Drosophila melanogaster: one gene and its partners. The protein of the gene in region 2 interacts with the protein of the main gene of each other region in a pairwise test. Each region holds a gene or a part of one and is shown on either strand. Other genes may lie near its edges. The genes, in order: Hel89B, CG31999, eIF4B and CG7745.

Region 1 (6,574 bases), on a different chromosome or scaffold from region 2:
TACCTAGATGTCATTATAATATTTGTGGTTCCCTTTGTGATCCGTTGATATAATAATCTAAGTAACTAATCTGGAAATAAAAATAAATATAGTATTAAATAAAGTATATAATACGATTTGTATTATATAAAGTATTCATTGGGACATAAATAAAATTGAAGAACTGTTTATTTAATATTTTCGTATTTCCCCACTTATGCACTTCCCACGTAACATCTATTATTTAAGTGAGTCAGAAAAATAACAACAAAAATAACAAGTCGATACATTCATAACAGAGTCAATTGATAATAGAATTAAGCGAATCATTTGATGGAATGCTGTCTCTATAGCGCGAAATAAATAAGAATGTTAGCAACCATACTAAATTGCTTAATACTATTACTCAGTGGTCGATAAAAAGATGGAACATCTAAAAAAAACAAATATCCAATATGCGAGTCGACATAGAACATTTCTCAAGTATAAGTATTAAGTATTTACGTCCAAAGAAGATTTATACCCACGCGAACTGTGACATAATTGCAAATTAAAAATTAACCAATTAGTACGATTTGATTAGTTCCATTGACAATGTAGTACCTTAGAATGACCGCATAGCTCAGCACGACGACGCTGTAGCAATCTCAAAATGTAGCCTTTCCCACCGCAATCCAATCGACCAATAAAGACTGGACACGTGGTCGAGGAAGGCAAAAGACATGGACGACCTAGTCGGTACTGGTATGGATTTCCTGGGAGGCATTATTAAGCTCCGCCAGCAAGTGGGGTTAGGCTGTGTAAATTGAGTCACTCGACGCGAATGGCGAATAATGACTTCGTTGTGGCCGCCGAGGCGTTCTTAACAGCTTAGAGCAGAACGTGACAATTGAGCAAATTACGGCATTTCCATATTCCATATTCCGGACTAGTGCCCCCATATTACGTACGAACGCCAAGGGGCCCAAACGATTCGCCTGGTTTAGAGCCCGTTCGCCTCGAATTATTACAAGGAGATTATCGATATTCCAAAGTGACACATACTTTTACTTTCGACGCTTTCAGTTTTGAATGCCTGTTATCAATGCAGTGATAAGAAATTGCAAAAACCACGGTTCACTGAACCGTTTTGAGAATACATTTACATTTACGTTTAGAATAAATAATAACGAAAAACGGCGAGTCTTCAAGGCACGTGCAGATTTATTGACAATGTTTATCCATCCATAAGTAATCAAGCCAATAAAGCACACACACACACACACTTACACAAACAATAAAGAAATACATAATATTAAAAACGACGTAAAAGTCATAATGAAATCGTTTGTACATATGGCATGTCGCTTGGCTTTATCCGACCAACCATAAATCCAATTTATCGGCGACAAATCTGCTGTACTTCGATTTGTCAGCGACCTTGTCGAAGCCACCCACTGAGGCGGGGGGTTGGGATTGGATCGGCTAGATTGGATGCAGGAAAATGCTCCGCCGGCTGGGTAATTAAGTTTCCATTAGATGAACATCGATAGAAAAAATCGCAGTCATCAATGGGGTTGGTCGTCATGGTGACGAAACGCACTGTGAGAACGTACATATGTAGCTAAATCTCTCTTAATTACAACAGTATGTAGCAATCCAGATTAATTTAAATTCTTTGCAACTTTTAAATTAATCGTCACAAAATGTAATCCTTAAAAAGGAGAATCGTTACGAGCTGTTCATGATATTAGGCGATATTTTTGCCATATTGATTTTAGCCTAATTTGCGTGTCGCGCATTTATTTCATACATGTCCATTGGACGATAAGCCACGAATATGTTCACTTTTTCATTATCACTAAATGGCTCTCGTAAAGTACCGATTAGGATAGGCTAAGTGTATTTCGAATTTTTTTTTGTGGCAAGTTCTGTGAGCTTTTTTTTTATTAATAGACATGTGTATTCTACAGATTAAAACGGGCCTGCGGAAATGCTGGGTCATTTGTTTACACTAAAGATAAGCGCGACTATTTCCCTTGCTTGATCATCGAAAATAAATTAATTATATGAATATATATATACATGATTTTGTCACACTTGACTAAGTTTATATTGTAATGGAGGGTACTTTTTTTAACCCTAAGGAAGATTAGCTCATTGTCCGCCCACTTATTAATATCATAATTCCCAGAGAAGGGATGATTTATATGGAGTTCTGTGTTTTTATTGCTTGGGGAAATACAAATTTTTCAAATTCAATAAAGTACATATTATGGGCTCAATGGGTCATCTGCTCAAATTCGCCGAAAATGACACATTTCGGCATTGATCGCGCCATATGTTTTTTATATGCGAAGAGTTCAATATTTGCACCATATTTGGCCAATATTGGAACAGCTGTTGCTGCGTATTTTGCACAATGCACGAAATACTGATTGGTATCGAATTAATGGAGCTGAATGACAAACAACGGGCAGCATCATCATCGCAATGCCGCAGTCAAGTTCGGCAAGTAAACTTTGGATATTCAAATGTTCTTTAAGAAACTGTGACAAATGTCGCTGATGTTGCGAACCGCGGGAAAATGGCAAATGCGAAAAAGCTGAAAAGGCCGACCGCCGCCGTTTGAAACTAGTTCAGGTGCCCTACCCCAAGTTGTTGGTAGCAAAAGAGAGAGGGAAGCGGCGACTGCAGTCGATTACGGCAGCGGACCATAAATAAATACAGGTGCTTGTACCGCCTGGCATTGTAGTGCACAGTGAGAAATTCGCTGAAATGCTGTACTGAGATGATTGGTAGTGGTTCAAGGTACGGTAAGATGAGAATTTTTAAATTACTTTGAGATTTGTATACCAAAACATGACGCTCATTTACAATCCAATAATATTTCATGCATCAGAATCGAGTGAGGCTTAAATTTAAGAACTTTTTTCAATAGCTAATATTATGAAACCACATGCTTATTTCTTTCCGTGCACTAAACGTATCGTAATGTGGACGTGGACAGCGAACGCAGGGATTATTGTTAAATGCCACCCACTGAAATCGGAAAAAGAGCCCGATGAATGAACAAATGGACGACACAAATAGCGGCTGGCGAATTGGGCAATGTGTTGCGACTAAAAATACGCGCACTAGAACGGGCTGCCAAGATGAGAGAGACTAGAAGGCGAAGACAAAGAGCTAGTGGTAGACCAAGTTTTTGTAAAGGATTTCCGCTGTTTTGCTGCGTTGGCGCCCACCTCCTCTCTCTCTCCCTCTCTCTCGCTCGCTCTCCTCTCTTATCAATAAACAGAGCCCCTTGGCCCCACTCTATCTATCTCTATCGCACGCACACAAGCAAGCGGAAGCGATAAGTTGCTGCCATATAAATAATGTTGCAATCTAGGATAAGAATTTAGGGGTTCCTTATGTTCCTATTCGCATTCCCACTCCCGATCTCCGAGTGTTATATCACTTACCTTTGGCAATGGTTGCTCTCTCTCGCTCTCTTCCTCTTCGCTTCGCATTTGCTCTTCTCTCCGCACTACGCACTCCTCTTTCTAGTTCCCTTCGTTGTGCGGTAGCAGTCAGCTTATGTGGGGCGCCCACTCACAATTCAACTCATGCGCTCTGCATTTTCTAATTGAATTGTTTGCTCTCAAACTGTACAATCGATGCTGAGTTACTATAGCCGTACGTATGTGTGTGTTTTGGCCCAAGGAAAGGGGTACTGGGTACTGCTTTTCGCCAGCAGCGTCACAAATCAATCCAATCGCTTTTGCTTTCTTCCTACTCACTCGCACTCACGCACCATTGACTTTTTATTTTCACGCACACTGGCACACTCGCGACGGACACACGGATGGGAATCCGGCGTTGCGAATAACGGCAGAATTCGATTTACGGCAATTGTCGTTGGTGGGCGTAGGCAGTCAATGTTTTAACTTAACACTGGGCTTCACGCTGATGCAAACACACTCTGACAGCACAATATTTTTAAGTTTTCGGTTCCCAGCAGCCATGTTAGCGCGATGGAGTCGCATTTATATGTGCGGCCTGACTATCGTGGTGCATCGGTTTTTAGGCGGCGCGAGCGGGACGCCAATACAGCACCACCGCCACTGTGACCAGATGGCATTATTGAATTTAACAGCAATTTTCACATAATAGCTTGTTCCCACTGAGATGTAAAGCTAACTGACACGTTAGCTAGCTATAACTTTTTCGAAGTCTATATAATTCTCTTAACAGCCAATATGTTTTCTTGTTATTTAATATATGGCTTCCACCAACCAATAGGTTTATATATTAACCTAACCTAAGATTAAAATAATGATAACTTTCAGTGGAGATAGCTGAAATATCGATAACGACTGTCACAACAACATCGATTTAAATACCATCTCTATTTTATCAACGCAGCGTTTATTGGCTTTTTGGCGTGGAAAAGTGAAAAGATAATTGACAAAAAGTCCACAAAAGTGCCGCAACATGAACACACTGGGTCCTAAGAAGGACGGAAGTCCGAATATAGACTTTTTCCAGTCGCCGGAGACGCTGCAGGGCTTTGAATCGATTCGCCAGTGGCTGCAGAAGAACTGCAAGAAGGTGCGTGCCAACAACAACGCCGCCGCAAACAAAAATGGCGCTGTCAGGCGGCGAAAAAAAAACGATTTACTCACAACCGTATTTATTGCAGTATTTGGCCCACAGTTCGGAGCCCATCACGAAGGAGTCCTTGGCCCAATTGCTCATTCACTTCCTGCAGTATGTGGAAGCCAAGCTGGGCAAGAACTCAGCGGATCCGCCGGCAACCAGAATTCCGGTTAGTATTGATAGTGCCTGTGGTTGGTGAGGGGGACAGGGTGCCCCGTGTTGCGTGTGTACACGTAAATATTAATCCTCCAATGGCCAAATGTTTGGACCACTAGCTTATATTTTGTATTTAGCTACATGATTTACGTACATTAAAACATATCTCTAATAATCGTACCACCCACACCAGATGCGTTGCTTTCTGGACTTCAAGAGCGGCGGTGGTCTGTGCATCATTTTCTCGACCATGTTCCGTTTCCGGGCCGAGCAACGCGGCAAGAAGTTCGACTTCTCCATTGGCAAGAATCCCACGCGCAAGGATCCCAACATCCAGCTGCTGATCGAGATTGAGCAGGCGTTGGTCGAGGCGGACTTGTATCGCATACCGTACATCTATATTCGGCCGGAGATTGAAAAGGGCTTCGAGGGAAAACTGCGCGAGATCCTGGACAATCGACGGGTAGAGATTGTGTCGGACGAGGAGGACGCCACCCATATCGTCTATCCTGTGGTGGACCCACATCCCGACGAGTATGCGCGGCCCATTTTCAAGCGCGGCGGACATGTGATGCTGCATTGGTACTACTTCCCCGAGTCCTACGATTCTTGGGCTGTGAATAACTTTGACCTGCCCGATCACATTCCGGAGAATCCCGAGTCACCGGCGGAACGTTGGCGTGTGTCTGCATCCTGGATCGTGGACCTGGAGCAGTACAATGAGTGGATGGCCGAGGAGGACTACGAGGTTGACGAACAGGGCAAGAAGAAGACGCACAAACAGCGTATGTCCATAGACGACATCATGTCATTCGGCGACGAGAAGAAGAAGCCTGCTGCCAGCTCGGGCGGAGGCAAGCAGAAGAGACGCCGTTCACCATCTCCCGCCAGTTCGGCATCCACCTCAAAGCCGGGCAAGCGTAAGCGTTCTCCCGCCGTGGTGCACAAAAAGTCGCGCAACGACGATGATGACGAGGACTTAACTCGCGATCTGGATGATCCGCCGGCCGAGCCCAATGTTCAGGAGGTTCATAAGGCAAATGCCGCCTTGCAGTCCACCGCCAGTCCAGCTCCGGGCGGTAAATCTCGTGGCGACAACGACATGATGCCCATTAAAGGTAAGTTTTGTTATCTTATATCTGCATTGACTAAACAAACTGATATCTAGGTGGCACTATGACCGATCTGGATGACGAAATGACTGGAGGAAGCGCCGCTCAAGCCATGTCTACCGGAGATGGGGAAAACTCGCAGACAGGCAAGACAAGTGATAACAGCAACACGCAGGAATTCTCTTCATCGGCCAAAGAGGATATGGAGGACAATGTGACCGAGCAGACGCACCACATTATCGTGCCTTCGTACTCGGCTTGGTTTGATTACAACTCCATTCATGTGATCGAGAAACGGGCCATGCCGGAATTCTTTAACAGCAAGAATAAGTCAAAGACACCAGAAATCTATATGGCCTACAGGAATTTTATGATTGATACGTACAGGTAAGTTGAAGCTCCATTTTTTTTGCAGCAAATAGTTTTGAATATGTTACTCATCTATTTCAGGCTCAATCCGACGGAGTATTTGACCAGCACAGCTTGTAGGCGTAATCTTGCCGGAGATGTGTGCGCCATAATGCGAGTACACGCCTTCTTGGAGCAATGGGGCCTGATTAACTACCAGATCGATGCGGATGTCCGCCCCACCCCTATGGGTCCACCACCAACCTCACACTTTCACATTCTTTCGGATACGCCATCAGGTCTACAGTCCATAAATCCGCAAAAGACGCAACAGCCGTCGGCGGCAAAGACGCTGTTGG
Region 2 (6,722 bases):
CTTGATGGTCCAGTTCTCGAGAACAGCAGACTTCAAGTGTAGAATGACAAAGTCCAAGCCAGAGCTGCGGGATTATTGTTGGGGCTATGTCGATTTTTTTGCAAGAGGCGGTCGTACGAGCATGTCGAAGTCCATTTATACAGCATTTTCGTATATAACCCGATATGCTGTCTTAAAACAAAATAAAACTTTCACTTTCGCTTGATCACAGGATATTTTAAGCCAGAGTATATATTGGTAAAAATCAAAAGGTTTCAACTCTATAAGTATTCTTAGTCAGTATCAACACATGAGTCCATATGGTGATGTCCCTTGCCCGAGGCTAGCATTCTTTTTCGTCATTTATCAATTTCATATCCGAAATCTAAATACCTTAGTGTGGTAATAATTTTAAAGCCTTATAACATAATAACTTAATAACTTAATAACTTAATAACTTAATAACTTAATAACTTAATAACTTAATAACTTAATAACTTAATAACTTAATAACTTAATAACTTAATAACTTAATAACTTAATAACTTAATAACTTAATAACTTAACAACTTAATAACTTAATAACTTAATAACTTAATAACTTAATAACTTAATAACTTAATAACTTAATAACTTAATAACTTAATAACTTAATAACTTAATAACTTAATAACTTAATAACTTAATAACTTAATAACTTAATAACTTAATAACTTAATAACTTAATAACTTAATAACTTAATAACTTAATAACTTAATAACTTAATAACTTAATAACTTAATAACTTAATAACTTAATAACTTAATAACTTAATAACTTAATAACTTAATAACTTAATAACTTTATAACTTTATAACTTTATAACTTTATAACTTTATAACTTAATAACTTAATAACTTAATAACTTAATAACTTAATAACTTTATAACTTAATAACTTTATAACTTTATAACTTTATAACTTTATAACTTTATAACTTAATAACTTAATAACTTAATAACTTAATAACTTAATAACTTAATAACTTAATAACTTAATAACTTAATAACTTAATAACTTAATAACTTAATAACTTAATAACTTAATAACTTAATAACTTAATAACTTAATAACTTAATAACTTAATAACTTAATAACTTAATAACTTAATAACTTAATAACTTAATAACTTAATAACTTAATAACTTAATAACTTAATAACTTAATAACTTAATAACTTAATAACTTAATAACTTAATAACTTAATAACTTAATAACTTAATAACTTAATAACTTAATAACTTAATAACTTAATAACTTAATAACTTAATAACTTAATAACTTAATAACTTAATAACTTAATAACTTAATAACTTTATAACTTTATAACTTTATAACTTAATAACTTTATAACTAACCTAATACAATTTTAAAGATTTGCCCAAAATATACAATGGGCGGTTTCAGTAGGCAGGTACATATATAAATATTCATATCTATTGACATATAAGCAAGTATACTACACATTACTTACCACTGGCCATTGTGGTGGTGACATGCCCTCCAACTATCAAGAAACACATAAAAGCACATAGTTTATAAAACATAACGGGTTCAGAAATCAAATCCGGGTAAAAAATAAAATTAATATAAAGATGGGAGCTTTAAATGAACAGGTCAGGCAATGAATGAGAAAATAAAGAACGCTCATGTGCATACGCTATCTGGAATTATCTCAGTCACTTAGCAGCGCACACATGCATGTTTGTATATGCTTGTATGTATGTATAGCAAATATATAATTTTAGAACGAAGAGGATTTAAGACTGAAACGCGTGTGGGCCAAAGCAAGCTGTTGACATATGTATGTACATATGTATGTATATAAGCCTACGCTATACGTTACATGTATTTACGTACATAAATATGTTTATTGTTCGACGACCTGCTGTTATATTTTCTTATTAAACACACTTTTATTTGCTAATCCCAGGTTTTGTGAATTGGAGCAATGTGAATTATTGAAACTAGGTAAAGGTAGCAGAAAACGTTTAAGATATGATCAATATACATACATACATATGTTCATTCAATTTGGTCACATTCTTCTCTGGCATCCTGAGCAAGTGCTCTGACCGAGATTCGGGGGTTCGCAATCACTATTCGTATAATAATGCGGTCTACGCGCTTGATAATTTTGGTTGTGCGCCAACCGACTCTTAGGTTCAAGCCTCTCCTCTTTTTCCGTGCGATTTAAAACATTGTAGACGGTCGTACGGGATACAGAAAACATTTCTACTAATTCTGGAATAGATTTTCCCAACTGGTGGTTATAGTTTATTAATTGGGTAACTTAAACAATTAATCTCTTTCCAGGCATTTTATCAAATTTAATAATTTACTTTAAGCACGTTCGATCAGCAAAATTTCACAAGCAAAGTCAAAAAATTTCAATAGAAGCGTAAAAATGCAATACAAAAACCAACCACGGAAAAACCAAACCAACCAAAAACCACGGAAAAATCGAGTTAGTTCTAAGAAAAAAAACAAGACAAAGTACGAAAACAAAATGTGTAGAGTTTCTTGACTTGTATATTTAATATTTTAATTTGTTTTTTGATTTATTAGTATAATAAATATTGTTTAATTAAATTTCATAAAAAAATTCCGTTTAATTAAGCAAATAACTCTTAATTTTTACCATTAAAGCCAAAAATTCAACTTATTTCACAGTGTGCAAACAGTTTCTTGACAAACTGTATGTATATCTCGGTAAAACCAAAGACACTATTTTAGTGTCTAGACACTATTCTAGTGTCTTTGGTACAACCATACCTGCTTAACTGTGACCGTCGTTTTGTCCGCTCTTTAAAATTTGAATTTTTTATTATATTTTATATTTTATTATACATACATACCTACGTTTTATAATAACTATACACAGATAAACGATGACCGACGGGGGCAAAGAGCTTAAAATCGGCTAGCAATCTAGATCAACAACATACATATATATGTAAGTGTTTACTTATAGGGTCGGAAATGGTGGCTTATATGTAAATATATATACATACAAATATATATACTTTTTTTTGGCGCAGACTATTTACCCCTATTACCCATCAAACCAAACCAACTCTTAAAGATGTGAAAAAAAGTGACGATCGAACAATCTACATGCAAGGATCTGATGTCAACATTTGAATTCATTCAACACTCTTTAAAACAATATTTATTTATTTTTTTAAAACTTATTTATATAAATCATTTGATGGAATTGAAATAATAGCTGTTTTTGCCAGCAAATAGATTGAGATATTGAATATAATACAAATTTTCTTGATCAATCAAAACCATTTGAAAAAATTGATGAAAGTTAAAATTTTTGTTAATACTGAGGATTATATTGCTCATGGTTAGTTTAGAAAAAACTCGTAAAACTCAATACCGATTAAAATTTGGGACAGGTCCGATAGTGAAATTAAGGCTACACGTTTGAATGAAATGCGAAACAAAAGAACAAATTCAAACAATTTCGGCTGGTGGAGATCAAGACAACACATAGATAGATACATACCTACATAGTTGAAAAAGCTTTAAAACAAAGCTTAAGCGTTGTCACAATACCTTACAAAAAAGCTCTGATCTGCATCAACAAGCATGTAAAAGATATTTTAAACATACATACATTAAATCAGTCTTTAAACGTTGGTAGATCTGGTCGATTGATTCCATAGAGTACATTTTTGAGAATTATTTATTTAATATTCAGCTAGGATGCAGTCTATGACTATCTTTAATATAATTACACAGTTAGTTTTTTTATCGAAGACTTTAAATGGAAACTTAAGTGTTCAACCAGTTTTCCAAACACTTGATGGCTATGAATATACTTCGCAGTCGTTTTCGCAAAACTTACAGAGTGAAAGTCAACTGGAGATCGTTTATGAATGGAAATATTTGGATTTCCTATACTCAACTTTTGTGCAACGCCAACAATCTATTTTAAATGGGTAACAAAACAATTTGGTTATAACAGTTTCTTACAAATCAAGAGATAATTTGAAAAATGTATTAATATTAATAACAAATTGTAGTACTAGTAAAAAAATCAAAAAATACGCCTTTAATAAATTTAAAATGCTTGTATTGTGAGAGGTATAAAAGAAAATTCGAAAAATAAACTATTTGACGCTCTTATGTCACAAATAGTCGAGATCCCCGACTATCAGATATCCGTTAATCAGCTCGTGGAACTGCGAATGCGAAAAAAAATTAACAAATTAATATCTTATCTCGAAAACTATAGGAGACTAGTTCTTATAAATACTTTCTTTTCATTCGAATCATTCAGTGCGTCTCATCCATATCTTTAATATTGATGAATAAATCCTAGCATTATCTCTAATGCTATAGTCGAGATCCCCGACTATCAGAATCCCGTTACACAGCTAGGGAAAATGCAAATGCAAATAAAGATCGACGTACATGGCCAGTTCGACTTGGCTATTGATCCTTATAAAGAATATTGTATATGACCATATAGAACATGGTCAGAAACGCTTCCTTCTGGCTGTTACAGACTGTTACATAAAGGATTATCATAATCTGGCTTTATGTGTTATTCTACTGCGCTGAATTTACTGTCTAATTATTATAATATATTAATATTTACAGAGACTTTGTACCAAAAAATAATTTACCTTTAGGCATTGATGTCCATAATAACCGCCTGTTTGTGACAACTCCTCGTTGGAAGAATGGTGTGCCTGCTAGCTTAGGTACACTGCCCTTTCCTCCAAAAGAGTCAAGCCCGGCAATAAAGCCGTATCCAAACTGGGAGGCTCATGGAAATCCAAACAATCCTGACTGCTCAAAACTGATGTCAGTTTATCGAACAGCTGTAGATAGGTGTGATCGAATTTGGCTAATTGATTCTGGAATTGTCAATGCTACAATAAACTTAAATCAGATCTGCCCACCAAAAATTGTTGTGTATGATCTTAAAAGTGACGAACTGATTGTTCGATACAATTTGGAAGCTTCTCATGTGAAGCAAGATTCGTTGCACTCCAATATTGTTGTGGATATTGGAGAAGATTGCGATGATGCGCATGCTATCGTATCGGATGTATGGAGATTTGGTCTACTTGTTTACAGCCTATCAAAAAACCGCAGCTGGCGCGTGACCAACTATAACTTTTATCCGGATCCCTTTGCTTCGGATTTTAATGTATACGGATTAAATTTTCAATGGCTGGATGGTGTTTTTGGAATGAGTATATATTACAATAAGAAAATAATGGAACGCGTTCTTTATTTTCATCCAATGGCAAGTTTCAAGGTGAGTATAAGGAGTATATAAATAAAGACAAGAAAATGGCTGGGAATTGATTTGATATTGATTTTAAAAAATGCCTTTCTTAACATTGTCTTTATTGTCTAAATAATGGCTCGCCGACTTACTTTTAAAAACCCCTCCTACAGCTTACTACTTGATCAGTCTTACTTAAGGTACTTAAATAAATCTAAATCTTAAGTAAGCTAATTATCTGCAGCTTGTAGGGTCCGAAAAGGCTTATTTCTGTTTTATTTTTATTAACCAAACTAGCAATCCCTTATACTCTACGAGTAACTGATATAATAATAATAATAATTGTGATTATAATACTTTCTCATTTAGGAGTTCATGGTGCCTATGAATATCTTGTTAAACGAATCTGTGTGGCAAACGAATACTCAAGAGTACGCCAAGTACTTCATACCAATTGGAGACCGCGGATATAATTCTCAATCATCTACATCAGGAGTTACAAGGAATGGCATTATGTTTTTTACACAAGTTCATCAAGATGATATTGGATGCTGGGATACATCGAAACCATACACTCGAGCACATTTGGGAAAATTTCATAATATGGAAAACTCAAATCTTATTCAATTTCCAAATGATTTAAAAGTAGACAAAGAAAAAGATCAAAATGTATGGCTTATAAGTAACCGACTACCAATTTTTCTATACAGCAATCTAGATTATGGAGAAGTAAATTTTCGAATTTTAAAGGCGAATGTAAATAAGATTATTCGCAATAGTGTTTGCAATCCGGATAATAGTTATATTAATACATCAAAGTCAGCTTTTGTGTTGATAGAAGAAGGACAGTGTTTTTGAAAACTATGGTAAATAAACAATTACACAACAAAATGTTGTAAATTTTTGAACAACCTTGGTATTTGCGTCCGTTACAAATGATACTCTAGTACCTTTTTTGAAGGTTTGGGTCTAACAGATTTTTGCGCTTTGTTGTGTCCAAGCAATTAACTAAATTGACTAAAAGAATAACAGTTTTTAAACGTGTACGAGTTCCAAATTGGCATAAGATCGGACTTTTAAGAACATACGTATCTAAAATTAGCTTTCTAGCTTTTAAAATTTTAAAGATCACGAAATTAAAATGGACGTACATTGCTAGATCAACTTGGCTTGCGATTCTGCTCGAATATTCGAAGTATATTCTTTATGGGTCAGCAGTTCTTCCCTCCGCCATTCTAGTTTTCAACGAATGAATATTAGGGTTCAAATTCAAACGTGTATACAATTGTTTGTAATATATTTATATTTTTTAGTCGTACTGTGAAAGGTTATATCCAATTGTAAGAAGTAACAGGTAGGGAGCGTGTTCTTTCTTCTATTGTATCTTCAAGTTCGTGTTATCGTCATTAGTTTCCTCTGAAAGTGGTTTGATTTTGGGTGTACTTAATA
Region 3 (6,246 bases), on a different chromosome or scaffold from region 2:
TTAGGGAGAGTTTACAGTTATTAAGAGGGCATTTGTGGGTATACTCAAATGAGCATGGCGCCTAGTGTCGTTTGGCAGAGTTTAATGGTGACAAAAATGACGACGAAATATGAAAAAAAGTGACAGAGCAATTCTCACGTAAGTTAGTCTAGTGAGAACGATTGAACAGACAACGCGCAAGCTACTTGCTGTGCCACTTAACATAGACAGTGAAGACGAAGAAGCAAATATCCGTCAAATTATAATACATTTATATTATATTTATACATACATACCAAACACCAAACTAACAGAACAAAACTAAACAAATTTTGCAACGTTTTAAAATTTTTGTTTTTAAATTATCAGTGAAACTTAAGTAATAAAAGATGGTATTAATAAAAAAAAAACGGTTAGGATAGTTCATTTGCTTATTTAAAGAAAAATGATTAAAAATATAAATGTGAAATAGGAAAAAAAAATTACCCGGTCATAAAGTAATAGTAAATAATAGTAGTTAATATTTTAAAAATTATTACAGCCAGAATATAGTTTCAGGACTGAATGAATGATTAAATAAGGGCATATTTATGGTTATTGTAGTATTTTGTTCCATATCCTTAGTTTTTATTTAAGGTCGCACAGCTCCATTACATCCGGGCTCCAGATTTACATCTTGCAAAATTTAAAAGTTATCACTTGCTTTTATGACCGAGACTTCTCCCAGCGCAACACATTAGGCCACTCCATGACATAGACTGGATTAGCTACGAAGCACTATTTGGGAAGTGTACTTGTATATTTTTGGTCATTGTATTGTTAAAACGTCCTCTAATGCATATGGGAGCATCACCTTCTTAAATGTTTCGACGTATAGATAACGATCAGTGATGGTTTTGATCCTATAAGTCACCTAAAATACTAACTTGAGTCACTGCCGTCAAAACAAAAATATTTTCGCCTTAACCGACCCCAAGATTTTACTCCTCTGCACCAATTCAAGCGATCTCACGCAAACCTAAATCATTAGGCTTCATGTTTTTTTCTGAGTAATGCCGCTTTTTTTTTTTGGCCTCTTGAAATGAGGATCTGGATCGAGTCGTCTTCTAATTACTAATAAACTTACATTTTTCGAAGAAACAGACCCGAAAGTCGGAATCCTAGATTGTCCTCCTAAGCAACGATCTCACCTTTTGGTCAATAACTGCTAAGTTACTAAAGTGAAAAAATTTAATTAATTAAGTAAAGGAATGGAGAAAATAATGAGAAATAACTTTTTGCTTGACCGGCTTTAGTATTATTTAGACCGCACCCGTGCATACATATTGTATATACAGGGTGCGGCAGCAAAACTTCCTTTTTTAAATGCGCGCCATTCAGTTAGTTGATGTCATAGCGGAGCACTAATGGCCCCGTTCAAGAGGGGCTACTGCAAAGCTTTGTCCCGACACGGTTCAGTCGCCATCTTGCGTTGGAATAGTGAGGAGCGCGCCTTTGCCGTTGTGGCCTACTTTTCAAGCGGATGTTCGGTTATTAAAACACAGCGTGCATTTCGGTATCGCTTTAATTTAGCACTGTTGGCTCCTGTCCCTGAACGCAAATCAATTGTTACATGGGTCACTACATTCAGGCAAACTGCAAGCGCGACAAAACGAAGAACTGGAGTCCCTCGACCCGTTAGATCACCTGAGAACATTGAAGCAGTGAGAGCGCCAATATTGCGATCTCCACAGCGTTCTGCGCTCAAACACGCGTCTGACCTTTGACTATGACTATCCGATCGTTCTGGGAGAAGAATTCTTTATGATGACCTTAAATTCCATCGGTATGAGATGGCGATAGTGCAGGAATTTCACAACGTGTTTATGTGAACCGTCCAAGAACGCTAAAAGAGTTGAAAACCATCATCATCATAACACCTGCTATGCTAACAAGAGTCACGACAAACGCCAGAAATCGGTTTACGCAATGTATGGAGAATGGGGGACGTCACCTATCAGATTTCATCTTCAAAAAAATATAAATAAAAACTTTGGAACTACATTTACATTTACCTAAATTATAAAAATAAATAATTATTTTCCGATGCCCACAATAGTTTATATTGAGTTCTGAAAGAAGGAAATTATGCTGCCTGTAGCATATCAAAAATTTAATATGGAGAACACACATTATATACAATACATATGTATCTGAAGTGCACATTACTAATATTAAGTATTATATATGAAAATACCAACTATTTGAATAATTTTGTGCAACTCGAATTTTATTAATAGAATAATACAAGTTAATTATGATTTTTTTTTAAATAAAATATTTCCAGCTTGAAAATCGTGTTCTCGCATAAGTAAGCCCGCATACAGTATTTTTTGTGGTTTGGGTTTTAAGCAATGGTATAATTTACAGACATCGCATTTTTTGTCGGCACCCAAAAAGTAGGTGCACGGTGAAAACCAAATATATAGGAGATACGTTATTGATTATTTGCCAAATTACGGCTTCTCCCACATTTTCGAAAAATGTTAATTTGTTGTATTTTATGTGGCGTTGTATATTTCCTCCTCCTCTGATTATTTATTATTATTATGCTTTTTGATTAGATTAAAAACTCAAGTCAGATAAAATTCACTTCTACATTCAGACAAATATTTAGATTTTAGTTACCTGGACACTTATTAATTTTGTCGCTTTCCTTGTAGTCCTGATTCGTGCGCCAACTAACTGTTGCACTTAGACTTTCATTATCATTTTTATCCACCTGGAGCTCGGCAAGTTTTTCATTTAAACCCTGTTCTCTGCGCCCCTTATCCTGTTTTCGAGCGAGAGCCAATCTTTGCTCAATCTCCAACTCCCTTGCTGCTGTATCTACCGGTTTTGCAGACCCAAACACGTTTAATGATGAAGTTCCGCCTTGTTTATCCAAATTAAATTCATCAACGTCACATTTTTCGAATTCAATTGTCTTTACATCTGGCAATGGTAAAGTTCTTGGTTTTAAATTCAATTTTGGCCTTTCTTCTTCAACTTTGGATGTCTCTTCTCGGGAATATCTGTCTGCTATTTTGACTCGACCTTCGCGATATTTTTCAGATACTTGTTCAACTTCTCTGCGTGTAGGGGAAGTATCAATAGATTGCGGCCTTGCGCTCGTGCGCCAAGATCCAGGAGTGTTCACATCATCTCTATCTGGTAAAGATTTTCTCTCTCTATTAAAGCTTCTTTCAAAATTGGAAGAATAACCAAAGTTACTGCCGTTGTTTTGGCTGTCTCGCCTCCAATTTCCGGAATCCCTATTATCTCCATTATTTCCAAAACCATCAAACCGCCTATTACTTTTTTGGCGGCTTTGCTGGTCGTTTTCATTCGATAGCTCAATGCGAATGCGGCGACCTTTAATAGAGGGGTCTGGCAAGCTAAGTACATGAATTAAATCCTCTCGATTTTCCAACTCCACATAGCCAAAGCCTCTGGAACGACCATTTTCGCCATCTTCTCTTGGTAGTCTCAGAGATATTAAATTAATACCTTCAAAGAACTCGTAGAGGTCATCTTCATTTGCGTCAAATGGTAAATTATTGATATAAGCAATAAATGGGGCTTTATGAGGAATAGAATTATCGTCGAATATCCGATTTGCCCTCGGAGCGGTTGGAAGCTGATAAACCAACGGCAATGTACCACTTCCATCATCGCTATCATCGCCATCTAAATTTCGTATTTTTTTTGAGACTTGGGTTGTTCCGACTGGAGCGTCAGAATTACATAGAAATGATTGCAAGGAGATAACTGTTCCTTTATTCTTTTTGCCCTTCTTTCCTGAAAAATAAAATAAAATATTAAATTGAAATACATACTTAAGTAGAAATGATGACCAACCAATATATACAATAAAATATTATGTTAAGCAAGATTACACATATGCATGCAGGTGGACATGTGTTCCTTTTACATTACGTGTCAAGAAAAAATCCATGCGGAACCACACAATCTCACAATTAAATTACTACCTTTTTACAATTAATAAAAAAAATTTAAACTTTAAACTTAGATATTATAAAAAAAATTTCTAACCTGCGGACGCCATTTCAACCAATGTTTCCAATCTTTAATTTTGATAATTTACCGAATTCACAAAAATAGAGAAATCAATTTTCCTATATCGTTATCGATATTTATTTCGGGCTTAACTGCACTATTTTGACAACTGGTAATACCCAAAACCCAAAGAGCACATCCTAAAGAAACAGTTGGAAATTTTGACATATGTGAAAATCCGATACTTAGAATAAAATTGAATATTCCAGTAAAGTTTGATGACTTTTCTGTTTTTATTTTAAGCTCAAATATTAAGACACAATTTACTATGTATGTATATGTTTTAATCAAAGTTACTTGTCGCTCTCTTTCAAATTCGTTCATTTTTGTATGCTTTTTATGGCTAACATTGACTATGTACCGTAGTACGGAAATGTTTTCTAAATATGAATAGTAAAAAAATTTGTTTATTTGAACCTTAGTGTTAATATTTTTTTTCTAAATATGAAACAAATTTTAATACATACAATATAAAATAAAATTGTATCATGTAAATTCTTAGCACGATAAATTACTTAGTTTTGTTTTCAAATATAGTTAATAATAGCCTACTCGCTGCACAAGGCAGCTTTGTTGGAATGTAGGAATATAGAGTTCTTTAACAAAAAGCCAAAATTAATTTCCATGATTATGTGGAGCAATTAGTTCGTTTCAACAATTGTAGTACAGCTTACAATGATTTTCTTTTAATAGGGCCTGAGTGGTGTAAACTCCTGCATTTGACAATATATTATGAGCCTAATCATAATCTAACTTGCAGTCTAAGCTGGCGATGTTCCTTATTCCACTTTCCATTTTTTGCGACCCAGTGGAAAGTTCGGAAGAGTTTGTGAGAAATAATTGTTGTGTAGTGATATTTTATCCACATAACAAGAAAAAAGGTTGTTTCCATAACATAAACGCGTGCATGGTTTTCAATAAATTACAATGTACTATATGTATATACCCGTTACTCCTAGAGTAAAATGGTGTATTAGATTTGTTGAAAAGTAAGAAAAAACGTATCTTACGATTTCGATTTGCAATCGAAAAATCGGTGCTGAGGTTTTTGAAATGATAACAATTTTTCGATTTGTAAAACCGGCACTTTTGTCTGGCCGAAATGAAAAGTAAATATCTTTTTTATATCAAAAAATATAAAAATAGTTTACTCAGTAGTCTTTTGATGTTTATTCCACATCACCATAATATCATTCTCCCACTTAGTTATGTTATTAAAAATTTATTTCTGACCCCACCTCAAATTTTACAAACAAAATTTAGTAGCCTGTATATTCTTAATCAGGATCAATAGCCGAGTCGATCTGGCCATGTCCGTCTGTCTGTCTGTCCACTGTATCAACAACGGGATCTCTCAACTATAGAAGCTAAAGAGTTGAGATAAAGTATACAGGTTCCACAGACATAGAGCCCACTCTAACGCCCACTAACGTCCCAAAACTGACACGCTCTCACTTTTAAGCAATATACATATATAACAATAATATATCGAAATTCCAGAAAAATTATGACATTTCGCGTTCGCAGTCCCAGTACATAAGTAACGGGTATCTGATACTCGGAGAACTCGACTATTGAATTCTCTCTTCTTTTATATTATTAATTTAATTAATTAATTAATTAATTTATATTAATTAATTGTATTAATTATTCCCAATACAGATTTTTGTCTTTCGTCTATCATAGTATAAATAAGCAAAATAAACCAACACGGCTACTGATCAATTTATATACTTCTAGTTGAATAAAATATAAAAAGAGAATGCTTACAGAAGCATTTATGGGAATGCATCCAGAATTCCGGAATAATTCCACTTCCAATGTATTACAACAAGTTACCTTTAATGATTGCTTCTATATTGTTGATTGTAAAATGAATTCATTTCCTGAAAATTATACTCGAAAATAAAGTATCTTAAAGTACGTTCGTTGAAAGTATGTAACAGGCAGAAGTACGCGTTTCCGACCATATAAAGTACATTTGTACATTCTTGATGAGGATCAATAGCCGAGTCGATATGGCCATGTCCGACTGTCCGTAGAACGTCGAGATCTCAGGAACTATAAAAGCTAGAAAGTTTGCGATTCAGCATACAGTTTCTGGAGATATAAACGAAGCGAAAGTTTGTCGACACATTTTGCCACGCCCACTCTAACAACCGCACAAAC
Region 4 (5,966 bases), on a different chromosome or scaffold from region 2:
TAGCACCACTACAAGGGTCTGCAGATGCAGAGGCCCACCTTGTTGCAAAGTCCGTCCCGTCCACCGGCTATCTGGCAGTTGGTAGTGCACCAGTCGCCTTGCAACTGGCACAGGCCTTGGAACGTGGGCATCTCACCTGTAACTAAACCAGAAGTTAACTCCCAAGTTAGGCACAATCTCCAACTGAAATCAGACTCACTTGCATGGGCACCGACTAAACAGACTAACAAAATAAGCAGACAGACGCGTAGGTAGTCCATGCTGATGAGTTGTCAGATTTCGACTAATAAGCTGGCAAGCTGGATGGCTGGCTGCGAAGGCGATAAACCAAACCATATCAGTCAAATGAATCTGAACTCATCACTCCGCCGGCTCTCTTACGAAATATTTGGAATAATAATATTAAGCTAGCTGATTAACGCTTGGTCGTGTTTTGTTTCGTTCACAGATCGCTGCGAAGTCTGACCATGGTGGCCGAGTCCGAGGACAATCAGGAGGTCTGAGATTGCAACTCCAAGCCTCCTGTGATTAGTTGTAAATAAGCTAAAGGTTTTTAACTTCAGTTAATCAAAGACAATCCGACAAGTAAACACATACGCTAGCCAAATGCGTGGGACCCTCGAATATTCGGTGGTCCATTAAGTAGCCTAAGAATTGCACCACTGACCAGTATCCAAATATTATGATCTTATTTATCTAAGCCTAACAACAGAAAACACAAGCAAGTAATTATTCTCTCTACCAGCTAAGATATGAAACGCAATAAAGCCTAAACATATTCATATCACCACAGACTTTCGTTCTGCCCAGAGGAATGCAAAGCTGATCGGTCATTAATCAACGTACAGGATTGCAATTGCAGTGGCACTTTGAATGGCCGCTTGGCCAGTCGAGGGTTAACGAGCTAGGCCAATTGCCAGTTGCAGTGGCAGTTTCCGTTGCAGACAGTAGCCAGCGGGTCTTAGTAGTTGCAATTGCATCCCGCTTTGTGGGTAATCGGAGGGTTGGTCAAAGGCCACTCATAAATCAAGCAGCAGGACGGCTACTGAACATAACTGAAATTGGACCTCAGTGGGTCACGAAGCTTTACATATCATTAGGAACTACTTTCTTTATGATGACTACACTACTTTCGCATATGCGGTTGTAAACTTTCGTGCCGAAAATTCCACTATCAGCATGCGAAAATGGATCACATCCAGAGAAAACTTACCACAAAGCATCGTAGCATCCATTCCTGACCCCTTTTAACAAAAATGCCCAAATACACATAAATTGCAAATTTTCACATTGGAAAGACACTTTTCCATTGAGTACACTTTAATAAGAATTTAAATAAATTAAAACCGATCATTATATTCTTAAACATATATAAAAAAACATAAATTAATGCAGATATGGAATCCCAATTGCTGGTCTTGACTAGCACATTTGAAAAGTGTTCGGTAGAACGTAGAGCTTTGCAAATGACTCATTGGTGGGAAATTTGACCAAAGCGATGCAATTACTATTATCTGACAACCGTCTAACGAATAACATAAGTTAAGGATAATAGATTACATTATTTACAAATACCTAGTAGCTAGCCCTTTAATCGTCGAAGAATAGTATTTCTAGGATCCGTTTCTGTGCACTTTTCTTCCGTTCCTTGTTCATTTTCAGCAGTTCCGTGGTGACTAATTCTCCCAGCAAATGCTCAGACAACCGCTGCACACCCGGATGATTGGGCGGCGCCTGGAATTTCCCGAAGTTTGCGGGATGCGAACTGCTGGCCTGATGTGGGAACTGCTGGTATAACTGGAAAAGGAAGTCCGTGTTTGACGGAAACATGTTCTGGTGCTGTTGCTGCTGCTGGTTGTTGTGGCTATTATTGCCGCTGGGATTGTTGCTCCCGCTATTGCTGCTACTGTTATTCCCATTTCCATTGCCCCGCTGCATGGGCATCGAATTGCTGTAGTGATTCTCCTGCTGCATCATAGCCTGCGGCTCCATCAGATCATGGCTGTTCTCATCGGATTCGTCGTCCGAGTCATTGCCAAAGTGACTACCATTGCTGGTCATCTGGTTATGGGCATTGCCATTTAGTTGAATACGGGGTTTCTTCATATGGAAATGGCTCGATGACGAAGAGTCTAGACCATCGCCCTTGGGGTTATAGACATGTGACTGTTGCATCTGCAGAGTGGAACTGTTGCCGATGGAAGCGCCCGTGGCGCTGGAAGAGGAATGTACCACCGGAAGCTGCTGTTCAGATGCCGGCGACTGTTGCTGCGCTTGTTGCTGCTGCTGCTGCTGTTGTTGTTGCGTCTGCTGCTGAGGATGATGGGATCCTGCCCCAATTCCTTGCAGCGGCGACGACAGCGGTGATTTCATCGAGGATGATGTTGAGGTCAGACTGCCAGCGCTGTTCTGGGCCCCGTTCATGCCCACGGAGCCATCCTTGTATTGATCCTGATAACCTTGCGAGGAATCAGCCATTACAGCTGCAACGGCCGCCGCCTGTTGCTGCATTTGTGACTGTGATATGTGCTGGAGCTGCTGTGAGGCCACGGCAGCCGCAAAATCCCTGAACACCTGGTCCGCCTCGATCTTCACCTGGCCATTGACGTTTTCCAGCGCAGATGCAGCAACGTTACTCAGAGCACTCATTGCGTGTTGCTGATCCGGCTGGTGGTAAAGATGACTTTGCCCTGAGCTGCCAAACTGAGACACATTCTTCATGGAGCCATTGGACTTATCAACCTGGTATTCGTTGTAGCCGGAGCTGTTGGCGGACTGTGGAGATGTTAGGAAGTTCGGCACATGGCGGTAGGACTTGCGCGGCTGGATGTGCTGGTCCAAGAACTTCATTTTCTCCAGGTATGGACGCGACAGGTGTTCGTAGACAGGTGGATCGCCCTGCTTCCGCTGCGACACGTAGCGTTCGCGTAGGTACTTCCACCGCTTCTTGCACGTGTCCACTGGAAAGGAGGGCAACATTTATATAGAGGATCTGCCGGAGGAGCGCGTCTTCCTCACCATCCGTGCGCAGCTTCATCGCAATCAGCTGCCAGGCCTCGTCCTTCGTCTCGTACTTGCCACCATTGGCGCCGCCGTTGAGGTAGTACTTCTGCCGGTTGTAGATCACTCCGTGCTGCGCTACCTCGTCAATTAGCTGCTCATCCATCATTTTAGTTTAATTCGTGTTTTCAGCTGCCAATTTGCCTTTGGTGTATGTCAGGCCATTTCCAACACTGTTCATGGGACATCGAAACAGTGTGACCGAAAATGTAGCAGCAGAGTGTCAAATATAATTTGAAGATATTGATATCGAAATATATTCGACAATTTGCATCATGTTTAAATTCGTCAGCATTTTGATTTATATATAGTAATGCATTTAATTAATTAACACGCAATAAAATTAATAATTTCAGCAAAAGTAAATCATTTGCTGTTCCTGAATTTACTAAATAAAAATGTTTAAAAATTTAACTTATAAGTTACCTTCACAAAATTCTCGAAAAATAAAAGTCAGCTATAAAATAGTTGCTATAAACGTATTATGGTTATTTGAAATTTTAAGGTGGGTTCTTTTGCGAACCGAGATTCAGTCACACTGGCAATTTGGTACCCGAAGTTGAATTGCCGTTTTGTGAAGCGGATAGTTACCTGCCGATAATCTTAAATAAAAATGTTTAAACTGGCCCGTATGCTCCTGCCGCAGCAGCGGATCCTGGCCAGCCCGCTGCGCCTGCAACGCCTGATCTCTACCAGCGACGAGGTCAACGCAGAGCCCATCATCAAGTCCATGGACACCATTGGCGGCCTCCCCACCGAACTGGTCAACGAACAGAAGCTGAAGAAGACTAGCAGGTAATCAATCTACCGGTTTTCGCACTTGACCTTTGCCTTGCCTGTTTGTTTTGTTTACATTTCGACCGGTATGGGCATGGGCATGGTATGCATGTATCGGAGGCCTGTTTTGGGCGTGATTTTCGAAAAGGAGTTTCGGGGTCTTTTTTTCTTGATTTCAAGTGGGGGAGAAAGTTTGTATCGAGCCGCTTATGCAGTCACGTAGACCATAGATGCGTGCATGTGTGTGTGTATGTATTTGTGCCTGCCTGGTGGTGTCAGTTATGGGCTCTATTGTTCTTGACTTTTGTTTTGTCCACAGAACCTTATCGACGCTCCAAAATCACTCGGTTCCCATTGCCGCTCGCGTCACGGTGTCGAAAGATGAGAGTCGCGACTTTATGGCCGTGTTCCCAGGTGAGATTTGTTTATTTATGCCCAGTAACAATTATCATGCAAATACTAATGCTAATTATATTTCGATGTGCAGATCTTGTGCGTGACATCACCACCGTGACGAAGGCATACAATTGCAGCGACGCAGCCAAATGGTTCGCCCAAGTCCTCCAGTACAATGTGCCCAGGGGCAAGAAGAACCGCGGCATCCTCACCGTGCTCACGTATAAGAATCTAGTGCCCACCCAGGATCTTACGCCGGAGAACATAAAGCTCGCCCAGTATCTGGGCTGGTGTGTGGAAATGGTAGGAGTTTTATGCATTAAATAGTTTTCCTAATACAAAGTTATCGATCATCTTTTCAGCTCCAAAGTTTTTTCATCATCTCAGACGATGTGATGGACAACAGCACCACCAGACGCGGCCAACCCTGCTGGCACAAGGTGGAGAACGTGGGCCTGACTGCCATTAACGATGCTCTTATGATTGAAAACGCCATGTATGCCATTCTCAAGAAGCACTTCAGCCACTTGGACTGCTATGTCGCCCTAATGGAGCTCTTCCACGAAATCACATACATCACTACCTGCGGACAATCGTTGGACCAACTGAACTCGAACCGCTGTGTCTCGGAATTCACAATGGAAAACTACAAAGCAATTGTCGAAAATAAGACTGCCTATTACTCCTTCTACCTTCCATTCGCACTTGCTTTGCACTTGGCTGGGTAAGTAATGGCCATACATATATAAGATTCCGCTTATTAATCTTCCGCTCTATTGTTTAGCTATAAAGACGCAGAGGCCTTCCGTCAATCGAAGACCATTCTCCTAGAAATGGGCAACTTTTTCCAGGTTCAAGATGATTTCCTCGACTGCTTCGGTAATCCGGAAGTGACTGGTAAAATTGGAACCGACATTCAGGACAACAAGTGCTCGTGGCTGGCAGTGGTGGCAATGCAGCGAGCCAATGTCGAGCAAAAGCAAATCATGGTCGATTGCTATGGCAAAGAAGGTAAAACTAGCTTAGCAAACCCGCACAATTAGACATTGACTTTTGAATATTAACCTGCAGAACCAGCTAAAGTGGAGCGAGTGAAAGAACTGTACAAGGAACTTGGACTGCCATCCACCTATGCCATTTTCGAGGAGGAATCCTACAACATGATTAAAACGCACATACAACAAACCTCACGCGGGGTGCCTCACCAGACCTTCCTGCAAATACTCAACAAAATCTACCAACGTGACTCCTAAATTACTCAAGCGCAACGACTTTACGGATACGTTTTTAATTAAATTGTAGTTTTAGCATTTACATGGATGAACTGTTAGCAAGGGCTCAGCAATTACAACCGATATGAACTTTTTACTATACATACAATGTTCTTTGCTTAATCGTCTGTAAAATCAAAGGGCGCAAAAGCCTTTCGGAAATCTTCCACATACGCCACTTCTTCGTCCTTATCGAGAAGGCAATCCTTCCAGTTCACTTTTTCATCGCAGTTAAGAAGATTCTCCGAACAGAACACGTCCCTGAAAAAATGAGTTTAGTCAAGAGTTGGTAGCTTAAATCGAGAAGTTAACGCACCTTGCGAAATGAATGGGAAAGTGTTTCATTTGCCGCGTTATAAGTGTGCTATCGTCGGGTAACTCGGCCAGGAAATAAGGTCCCATTTCAGGCAGCATTTTCTCAGAATCCAATGCGGGAAGTGTCTCAAATTCCAGATTAAATTC

Evidence for each region.
Region 1: the proteins of CG31999 (region 2) and Hel89B interact in a two-hybrid assay, tested with the Drosophila melanogaster proteins (one large-scale study listed by BioGRID).
Region 3: the proteins of CG31999 (region 2) and eIF4B interact in a two-hybrid assay, tested with the Drosophila melanogaster proteins (one large-scale study listed by BioGRID).
Region 4: the proteins of CG31999 (region 2) and CG7745 interact in a two-hybrid assay, tested with the Drosophila melanogaster proteins (one large-scale study listed by BioGRID).

The regions. Positions count from the first base shown.
Region 1 is NT_033777.3:15,970,673-15,977,246, reverse strand, and holds the start of Hel89B (helicase 89B), read right to left. Parts: upstream 3,950-6,574; 5' UTR 3,423-3,949; intron 683-3,422; exon of another isoform or gene 583-682; intron 71-582; 5' UTR 15-70; coding exon 4-14; intron 1-3. Other genes in the region: mor (moira), read left to right, coding at 4,435-4,551, 4,643-4,768, 4,949-5,873, 5,924-6,254, 6,318-6,574.
Region 2 is NC_004353.4:224,269-230,990, forward strand, and holds the start of CG31999 (uncharacterized protein), read right to left. Parts: upstream 3,481-6,722; 5' UTR 3,408-3,480; intron 2,283-3,407; 5' UTR 1,567-2,282; coding exon 1,494-1,566; intron 172-1,493; coding exon 1-171. Other genes in the region: yellow-h, read left to right, coding at 3,737-3,972, 4,637-5,303, 5,643-6,131.
Region 3 is NT_037436.4:27,854,138-27,860,383, forward strand, and holds the start of eIF4B (eukaryotic translation initiation factor 4B), read right to left. Parts: upstream 4,135-6,246; 5' UTR 4,067-4,134; coding exon 4,054-4,066; intron 3,799-4,053; coding exon 2,647-3,798; coding exon of another isoform or gene 2,639-2,646; exon of another isoform or gene 2,571-2,638; coding exon of another isoform or gene 2,566-2,570; exon of another isoform or gene 2,229-2,565; intron 1-2,228.
Region 4 is NT_033778.4:11,305,150-11,311,115, reverse strand, and holds CG7745 (uncharacterized protein), read right to left. Parts: upstream 3,238-5,966; 5' UTR 3,170-3,237; coding exon 3,019-3,169; intron 2,961-3,018; coding exon 1,591-2,960; 3' UTR 1,287-1,590; downstream 1-1,286. Other genes in the region: CG43114 (uncharacterized protein), read right to left, coding at 9-142, 200-260; nompA (no mechanoreceptor potential A), read left to right, coding at 449-465; Fpps (farnesyl pyrophosphate synthase), read left to right, coding at 3,674-3,855, 4,157-4,251, 4,325-4,536, 4,596-4,957, 5,018-5,244, 5,305-5,486; CG7741 (uncharacterized protein), read right to left, coding at 5,624-5,765, 5,821-5,966.